Macaca fascicularis: one gene and its partner. The main gene of each other region encodes a partner of the protein of the gene in region 2 in a complex. Links are inferred from orthologs where the notes say so. Each region holds a gene or a part of one and is shown on either strand. Other genes may lie near its edges.

The links.
Region 1: the proteins of HCN2 (region 2) and PEX5L are in contact, whole or in part, in a crystal structure (PDB 4EQF), measured with the Mus musculus proteins. The link is inferred for Macaca fascicularis from reciprocal best matches to the Homo sapiens genes HCN2 and PEX5L. Residues at the interface, in NP_032252.1 of Mus musculus: Leu859, Ser860, Ser861, Asn862, Leu863; in NP_001156988.1 of Mus musculus: Glu315, Glu317, Val343, Asn347, His426, Asn453, Arg454, Ala457, Thr458, Ala460, Asn461, Tyr472, Arg484, Tyr487, Asn488, Ile491, Ile494, Ile537.

Annotation. Positions count from the first base shown.
Region 1 is NC_088376.1:91,655,432-91,659,236, reverse strand, and holds part of PEX5L (PEX5-related protein), read left to right. Parts: intron 1-3,115; coding exon 3,116-3,239; intron 3,240-3,805. UniProt on the Homo sapiens protein: Accessory subunit of hyperpolarization-activated cyclic nucleotide-gated (HCN) channels, regulating their cell-surface expression and cyclic nucleotide dependence.
Region 2 is NC_088393.1:1,143,473-1,147,775, forward strand, and holds the start of HCN2 (potassium/sodium hyperpolarization-activated cyclic nucleotide-gated channel 2), read left to right. Parts: upstream 1-1,461; 5' UTR 1,462-1,521; coding exon 1,522-2,153; intron 2,154-4,303. UniProt on the Homo sapiens protein: Hyperpolarization-activated ion channel that is permeable to sodium and potassium ions. Displays lower selectivity for K(+) over Na(+) ions. Contributes to the native pacemaker currents in heart (If) and in neurons (Ih).

The DNA of each region.
Region 1 (3,805 bases), on a different chromosome or scaffold from region 2:
CAGTGACAAGGGGGATAATGAGAAAGAGAGAGACAGGTTCCAAAAACTATGAAAACAAGACTTAGAAACAGATAATATGTATATGTGAGCAATGGGGACATGTAGAATGTGCCAAGCTCCATGACAGAAGATGGAAGAGGAGCAGGAGTGAACTATTGAGTTCAGCTTTGAACCTGCTATATTTGTGGAAACTTGGGACTTCTCTGTGGATACCTCCATTAGGCTGTTAAGTATATAGGTCTAGAACTGGAGAAAAAGAGCTGAGTAGGAAATGGAGATTTGTAAGTCAGAAGCTTGTGTATGAATGGATATTGGAACCATGGGTGTAGATGAGCTCTTCCAGGGATAGACTGTAAAGAAAGGAAAGAGAACCACGCCATTGCTCAAATTAGTGGCATACACAGGAACTCCTTTCCCCTGCCATCCCTCTTTGAGGTCTGTCTTTGGAGGGAAATTTTATAACTATCTCTACTATTTCCTCACCATCTAGGTTTATTCAGTTTTACAAATAAGTTAATAACATGTATAGATTTAGATAAAAATATATTAATATATTGATTGGGTGCAGTGGCTCATATCTGTAATTCCAGCACTTTGGGAGGCCAAGGCAGGAGGACTGCTTGAGGCCAGGAGTTTGAGACCAACTTGGACAACACAGTGAGATCCCATCTCTACAAAATTTTAAAAGTTAGCCTGGCATAGTGGCATAAGCCTGTAGTTCCAGCTACCTGGGAGGCTGAGGCAGGAGGATTGCTTAAGCCCAAGAGATTGAGGCTACAGTGAGCTGTGACTGCACCACAGCACTTCAGCCTGGGCAGCAGAGTGAGACCTTGCCTTAAAAAATAGAATATATTAATATATTACGATATAACACAATAAGCATGCAGATGATGAACACTTATTTCTCTGCTTCTGAGAAAATGTCCTATGAAGAAGTTGTAAAAGTATTTAGTTTAAAAGCACCTTTAAGAATAGCAGTGTTGGCCAGGCGCAGCGGCTCATGCCTGTAATCCCAGCACTTTGGGAGGCTGAGGCGGGTGGATCACCTGAGGTCAGGAGCGTGAGACCAGCCTGACCAACATGGAGAAACCCTGTGTCTACTAAAAAGACAAAGAAAAATTAGCTAGGCATGTTGGCACATTCCTGTAATCCCAGCTACTAGGGAGGCTGAGGCAGGAGAATTGCTTGAACCCGCGAGGCGGAGGTTGCAGTGAGTCGAGATCGCGCCACTGCACTCCAGCCTGGGCAACAAGAGCAAAACTCCATCTCAAAAAAAAAAAAAAAAAAAAAAAAAGAATAGCAGTGTTATTCACAATAGTAAAAAGGTGAAAACAACTGAAACGTATCATGAGATGAATGGATAAACAAAATGTAATATATACAGACAATGAACTTATTCCGCCTTGGAAAGGAATAACTTACATGCTACAACATGGATGAACCTTGAAGATATTGTGCTAGGTGAAGTAAACCAGGCACAAAAGGACAAATACAGGTTGAGCATCCCTAATTCGAAAATCTGAAATCCTCCAAAATCTGTAAGTGGAAAACTCCACACCTGACTTCATGTGATAAGTCACAGTCAGAACTTTGTTTTATGGATAAGATTATTTAAAATACTTTATAAAATTACCTTCAAGCTATGTGTGTAAGGTGTGTATGAAACATAATTGAATTTCATGTTTAAATGTGAGTCCCAGCCCCAAGATATCTCATTATGACATATGCAAATATTCCAAAAACCAAGAAAAAAAATCCCAAATTTGAAACACTCCTGGTCCCAAGCATTTTGCATAAGGAATAATCAACCTGGATTGGAGGATTCCACTTGTACGAGGTACCCACAACAGTCAAATTCATACAGACAGAAAGTAGAATAAAAGTTACCAGGTTTTTGCTGGGGGAATGAAAAGTTTGTGTTTAATGAGTAGAGTTTCAGTTTGAAATGATGAGAAATTCTGGAGATGAATAGTGGTGATGGTTACACAACAGTGTGAATGTACTAATGCTACTGAATTGTACACTAACATATGGTTTAAATGGTCAATTTGTTATGCATTTTTTACCAGAGTTTTTAAAAAGAAGGGGAAAAAAGACCTTAGAGAACATCATCTGCAAACTGATCTCTTTTTTCAGACAGAGTTTTGCTTTGTTGCCCAGGCTGGAGTGCAGTGGCGCAATCTGGGCCCACTGCAACCTCTGCCTCCCAGGATCAAGGAATTCCCCTGCTTCAACCTCCCAAGTAGCTGGGATTACAGGCATGCACCACCACACCCCGTTCATTTTTTTTTTTTTTGTATTTAGTAGAAAAAGGGTTTCACCATGTTGGTCAGGCTGGTCTCGAACTCCTGACCTCAGGTGATCCACCTGCCTCTGCCTCCCAATGTGCTGGGATTACAGGCGTGAGCCCTTGCCACCTGGCCCAATCTTTTTATACGCTAAAAAACTGAACCCCGAGATTGTTTCAGTGGTTTATTCACAGCCACACACCTGTAATGAGAGAGAATCTAGCCAGATTTTTTTTATCTATAAGAACTAAGCCACAGGGATAAAATGGTTCCAGGATTCCCTTGGCTGTCCTCATTGCCTCCTTTCTCTCTCTCCCCATTATAAATTCCCTCCTTTGGTGAAAAATTACATGCTTTATTCAAAAGCTGTGAAAGTGTTCTGATTTATCCCCACCTCCTTTTAACAATGAAGCTCATCTCTTTAAACAGAATTTCTTTCTGGAATCATGCCAGCAATGCCCCCAAACCCCTGCTTTAGCCAGAGACTGACAGGGTAGTGCTCCAGATGTACATTCTACACTGGATTGCACAGGCTCATGTACAAGATTCAGAATGTACACAGCTTCAGAAATAAATTCAGGTCAAACAACTTGATTGCATTAACTGTAAAAGCAATGCAATTTATCTTAATAGGAGATTTCTATTTAGCTGTACAAGTTTTAATTTTTATGCAACATTGAAAAGATAAAGGTTGATCTTGGGGCTTGGGACATTGGTTGAATGAAGCTCACTTTGATAAGATTTTTCAATCTTAATTAAGCTCTCTTTTTCTCTCTGCACCACATGCTCCCCCAACCTGCCTCACCCGCTTCCTCTGTACTTACTAGACATTCAAACACAACTGGAAAAATGGGACGATGTTAAGTTTCATGGCGATCGAAATTCCAAGGGACATCCAATGGCAGAGAGAAAATCATGCTCATCTAGAACTGGATCAAAAGAGCTCTTATGGTAAGGTATTTTGATACCAGAAAATGGCCATTTATTTATCAACTTTATGAGTGGCACTGAAATAGCCAGTGAGTTAAGTCAATCCAAATACTTGGCATCACATGTAACCCCTATGTAACAATACCAATTACTGTGGCTTCTACCAATTCGAATTATTTCATCTCAACTGTCAAAAATTAATTCAACTCAGTCAATAAGTGTTTTGAGAGATTTGTAATTCAACATTGGTAATAACGTTCTGAATGTGTAACTGTGCTGATTAGTAAAACTAGGTGTATATGTGTATATACATGAGAATATTCAATATATTAAATAATAGTTAAATTTTTGCAGTTATAAGGTAGCTTTTTTGGTTTGCTCAATCATCTACTATCAGATAATCAAATAATTCAGAACAGTGCATGGAAGCTTACGAGAAAATCTGGCCACCTGAGTTGTACCATATTTTTGAAGCTTCCTAAAGGGCAGTATCCAGCATCCGTCTCCTACTGCCCTCCCACATCTCCATTTATCATGACATTTCAAATTCTGTATAAGGATAAAATCTCTCCTGAGACACTTGTTGG
Region 2 (4,303 bases):
GCACTGCCAACTGTGCCACCAGCCCAGCCTCTCCCGCGACACCTTGGGACGAACAGCTGTCCTGCCCGCCTGTGCGGAGGTGGCCGGCGTGGGGGCACAGGGATCCCCAGGGTGTGGGGCAGCTTGGCCGGGGCGAGAGACTCGGTCGGGCTCAGCCCATCCAGTGTCAACCGGGGGCATGCTGGCCCTCCCTCAAGTACCACTGAGTGCCTCCTGTGTGCAGGAAGGGGGCCATCTCTGCCCCGGTGGCCCCGAGGTGCAGGTGGGCAGGCGGCACCCGACACACAGGGCATCATGGCTGAGAGGACGTCAGGCCAGGTGCCAGAAGGGTCCCAGGAGGGCAGGAGGGTCCCAGGAGGATCTCAGGAGGGTCCCAGGAGGATCTCAGGAGGGTGCCAGGAGGGTCCCAGGAGAGTGCCATGAGGGTGGGGATGTTCAGCCTCCACTTCTTCGTGTGTGACTGTCTCTCTCCTCTCTCTCACTTGCCAACTCTCTCACCCACCCCATCCCGGCTGTCTGGTGGGCTGGGTGGGCTGGGTGGCTAGGGACACAGGCCTCATGTCACCTGGCACCAAGCAGCCCCCACACTCGGCCTGGCTGTGGCCCAGAAGCAGAGCCTTGGGAAGCACCTGTCTCAGAGCCGGAGACTGGGGGCACTGGGGGCACAGCCGCACCCGAAGCTTGAGGGGTCGGGGAAGGAGGCAGCCCCGGGGCAGAGGGCTCTGGTGCCTGTGCGAAGGCACTAGTGGGCTCTGGGTCTCCCTGTGACCCCAATCTAAAGCCCACCAGACCTAGAGGAGACCCCCCCACCCCACACTGCTCCCCAGGGCACGGTTTGAGGGTGGGTGGGAGCCCCACACCTTCGGGTGCCTCTTCTAGTTTTCCCTGTCAGTTTCCTCAAATGCAGACCAGGGAGAGGAGTGCCCGAGTCTCCCAGAACGGCCCCCAAGCCGGCCGGCCCCTCCCCACGCACTCAGGGGTCCCTGTCCAGGGCCCACGGGCGACCCAGCAAGGGCTCCTGTGACCTTTAGAAACACGCTTTCATTGTGGGAGTCTTCAAACCTACGGAAAGCAAGGAGGCGCTGGCCGTGGCGGCCTCCCGTCTCCCAGGCCCGCGTGCACCCTCCCCGCGCCGGTGCCCTCCGGGCAGAGGTGGAAGCCGCGGCGCGGGAGAGGCGGCCTCGGCCGGGCAGCGGGGCTCCGTGACCTTGGGCGCGTCCTTACACGTCGCGGGCCTCAGTTTCCCCTCCTGGGGAGAGGCCCGCGCGGGGCTCCGAGGCCTCGGGCCGCGTGACCTTGGGGCGCCCCGGACCCCGCGGCCCGAGTTTCCCGGCGCCGGGCGGAGGCGGCGCGCGGGGAGGGGGCGCAGCCGGGCGGGACTCCCGCCCCCGCCCCTCCCCCGCCGCGAGGCTCCGCCCCCCGCGGCTCCGCCCCACCCCGCCCCCGCCTCCCCCCTCCCTCGGGCTCCGGCCGGCGGCGGCGGCGGCGGCTCCGCTCCGCACTGCCCGGCGCCGCCTCGCCATGGACGCGCGCGGGGGCGGCGGGCGGCCCGGGGAGAGCCCGGGCGCGACCCCCGCGCCGGGGCCGCCGCCGCCGCCGCCGCCCGCGCCCCCCCAACAGCAGCCGCCGCCGCCGCCGCCGCCCGCGCCCCCCCCGGGCCCCGGGCCCGCGCCCCCCCAGCAGCCGCCCCGGGCCGAGGCGTTGCCCCTGGAGGCGGCGGACGAGGGCGGCCCGCGGGGCCGGCTCCGCAGCCGCGACAGCTCGTGCGGCCGCCCCGGCACCCCGGGCGCGGCGAGCACGGCCAAGGGCAGCCCGAACGGCGAGTGCGGGCGCGGCGAGCCGCAGTGCAGCCCCGCGGGGCCCGAGGGCCCGGCGCGGGGGCCCAAGGTGTCGTTCTCGTGCCGCGGGGCGGCCTCGGGGCCCGCGCCGGGGCCGGGGCCGGCGGAGGAGGCGGGCAGCGAGGAGGCGGGCCCGGCGGGGGAGCCGCGCGGCAGCCAGGCCAGCTTCATGCAGCGCCAGTTCGGCGCGCTCCTGCAGCCGGGCGTCAACAAGTTCTCGCTGCGGATGTTCGGCAGCCAGAAGGCCGTGGAACGCGAGCAGGAGCGCGTCAAGTCGGCGGGGGCCTGGATCATCCACCCGTACAGCGACTTCAGGTACCGCCTCCGGGAGGGCCGGTCGGCGCGAGGGGGCCCGGGGAGCCGGCGCGCGGGGGCCGTCCTTGGAGCGCCTGGGGAGGGCGGGGCGGCGCGCCCGGCCGGTGACCTCGGGGCTCCTCGGTGACCTCGGGCGTGTCCAGGACCCGCCCCGGAGTGACCCCGGCGCGCGAGGCTCCGCCTCTGGGGGGCTCCCGGGGTGACCCCGGAGCGCCCCCCTCCCACGCACCCCGACATACTCCGCCCTGCGGCGCGGCGGGTGGGGTGGGCCGCAGGGCCAGGGTCTGAGCGCCGAGGGGCGCAGAGGACGAATAGAGGGGAACGTGGGCCCCAGAGAGGCGGCGGAGCGGAAGGGAGGAGGAACGAAGGGCGCCCGGGAAGGACGCGCCTGAGGGAGGCCGGGGGAGAGGGGGTTAAGCGGCTCCCACGGCGTCCACCCGCGCCCCGCCTGCGAGGAGGCGCGCCCGGAGCCGCGGGCCTGGAAAGCGTGCGGGTCCCCAAGCTGTGTCTCCAGGAGCCGCTCCACCCGAGCCGCGGGCGGTGCGCGCATGTGGCGGTGGGTGTGTAGATACCGCTGTGGATCAGCCGGCTAATGCGTGGAGGGCTCGGAGCAGGGCCGGCGCGAGACCACCGCCGCCGATGTTTGCGTTCCTGGTTCCCGGGCTGTGCGTGCTGTGGCCGGAGAGTGAGACCGGCGCGTGTCCCCGTGGGCTGTGTGTGAACAGGGGCGCGTGACGGCGGCGGGGTTCCCGGGGCGCAAGCCTGTGGCCCGGGAGGTGTGTCTCCAGGGGTGTGTCTGCGTGGTGGTCGCGAGCGTGTGTCTGCGTGGTGGTCTCGGGCGTGTGTGCCCCGGGTGGTTTTATCGTGGTGGGACGTGTGGTTCGTATGTGTTGGGACCAGGTGGCGGGCGTGCGTTGTGCGCCCGGGGCCGGTGTGCACCGGTGGGCAGTAGTGTGAGCCGTAGGCAGGTCTCACACGCGCGACCGTGGACGGCTGCGTGTGTGTTTGTCCACGAGTGGGGTGTGAGGTGGGTTGTGGAGGGTGTAGATGGGGCCCGCCGGGCGGGCGCGGTTTCAGCACCACGGACAGCGCGCCGGGCCTGGGAAGGCTGCGATTTTCCCGCCTGTCTCTCCTCCTCCAGGCCTGGGCACCCCTGAACGGCCCCCATGGACCCTGGACCCCCAGAACTGGGCAGGGAGGCTGTGGGAATCTCTCTTCCCTTGACTTCTCTGCACCCCTAGTGATTGGCTGGAGAAACTGAGGCCTGGGGCACACACGTCCTGGACAGCCTGGAGGAAGGCCCTGGAATCCTCCTCCCACCCCAGGTCTTCCTGAGAGAACACAGCTTTGACCAGAAGCCTGGATTTCGAGACCGGCCAGGGGTGGAGGAGCCCCAAAACCCCCAGAAGGGCTGTGTCCGGCCCCTCCCACCCCGCCTCCGTGCCCCACTGGGAGAGCTTGGTCAGCGTCTGGGCTCTGGCCTGTGAAATGCGGACAGTGAGCAGGAAGGACTGGACTTCCAGGGCTGCTGGTCGGCCTGGCCCCACTTCCAGTCGGGCAGTGGCACCGCCTGGCCGGAGAGGGACGTGGTGGGGAGGGAGCTGCAGAGAGCGCCCACTCCCCTTCTTCGTCCCCTCCAGCATGACCGCCGACAACGATGGGTGCACCACAGTGCAAGGGCTGGCAGGTGGAGGCCCACGTTAACCACTCCCTCCCCTGGGCAGTTCCAGTGACCCCCTGGCTGCAGAGGGGCAGTCGGTGTCCTGGGGGGCAGGTGGGCTGATGGCTGATCCTGGCGCTTGGGGGGAAGGCCGGTAGGAGGAGTGAAGCCCCTCATCCTTCCACCCACCTTGCACGCAGTCACCTGGAGGCCCGGGCAGGCCGGGGCCCCGCTCTGTGCTGTGAGGTGTTGAGGGCTCAGAGGCCCCCTGTGTGGGCCAAGTGCGGCGTCACCCAGGCAGACGAGTGTTGAAGTGGAACTGAGCAGGCAGGGAATGGGGTTAGCGGGGCCTGTCTTCAGGACTAGGGGAGTTACAGCAGTCAGATTTTAAAAAAGGATTTCGATGTTGCCAAGCTGGGTGCACGCGGCCCCTATGACCCTCCCCAGGCTTGGGACCTGTGCCCCTTTTCGACTGTCCTGAATCAGTGTG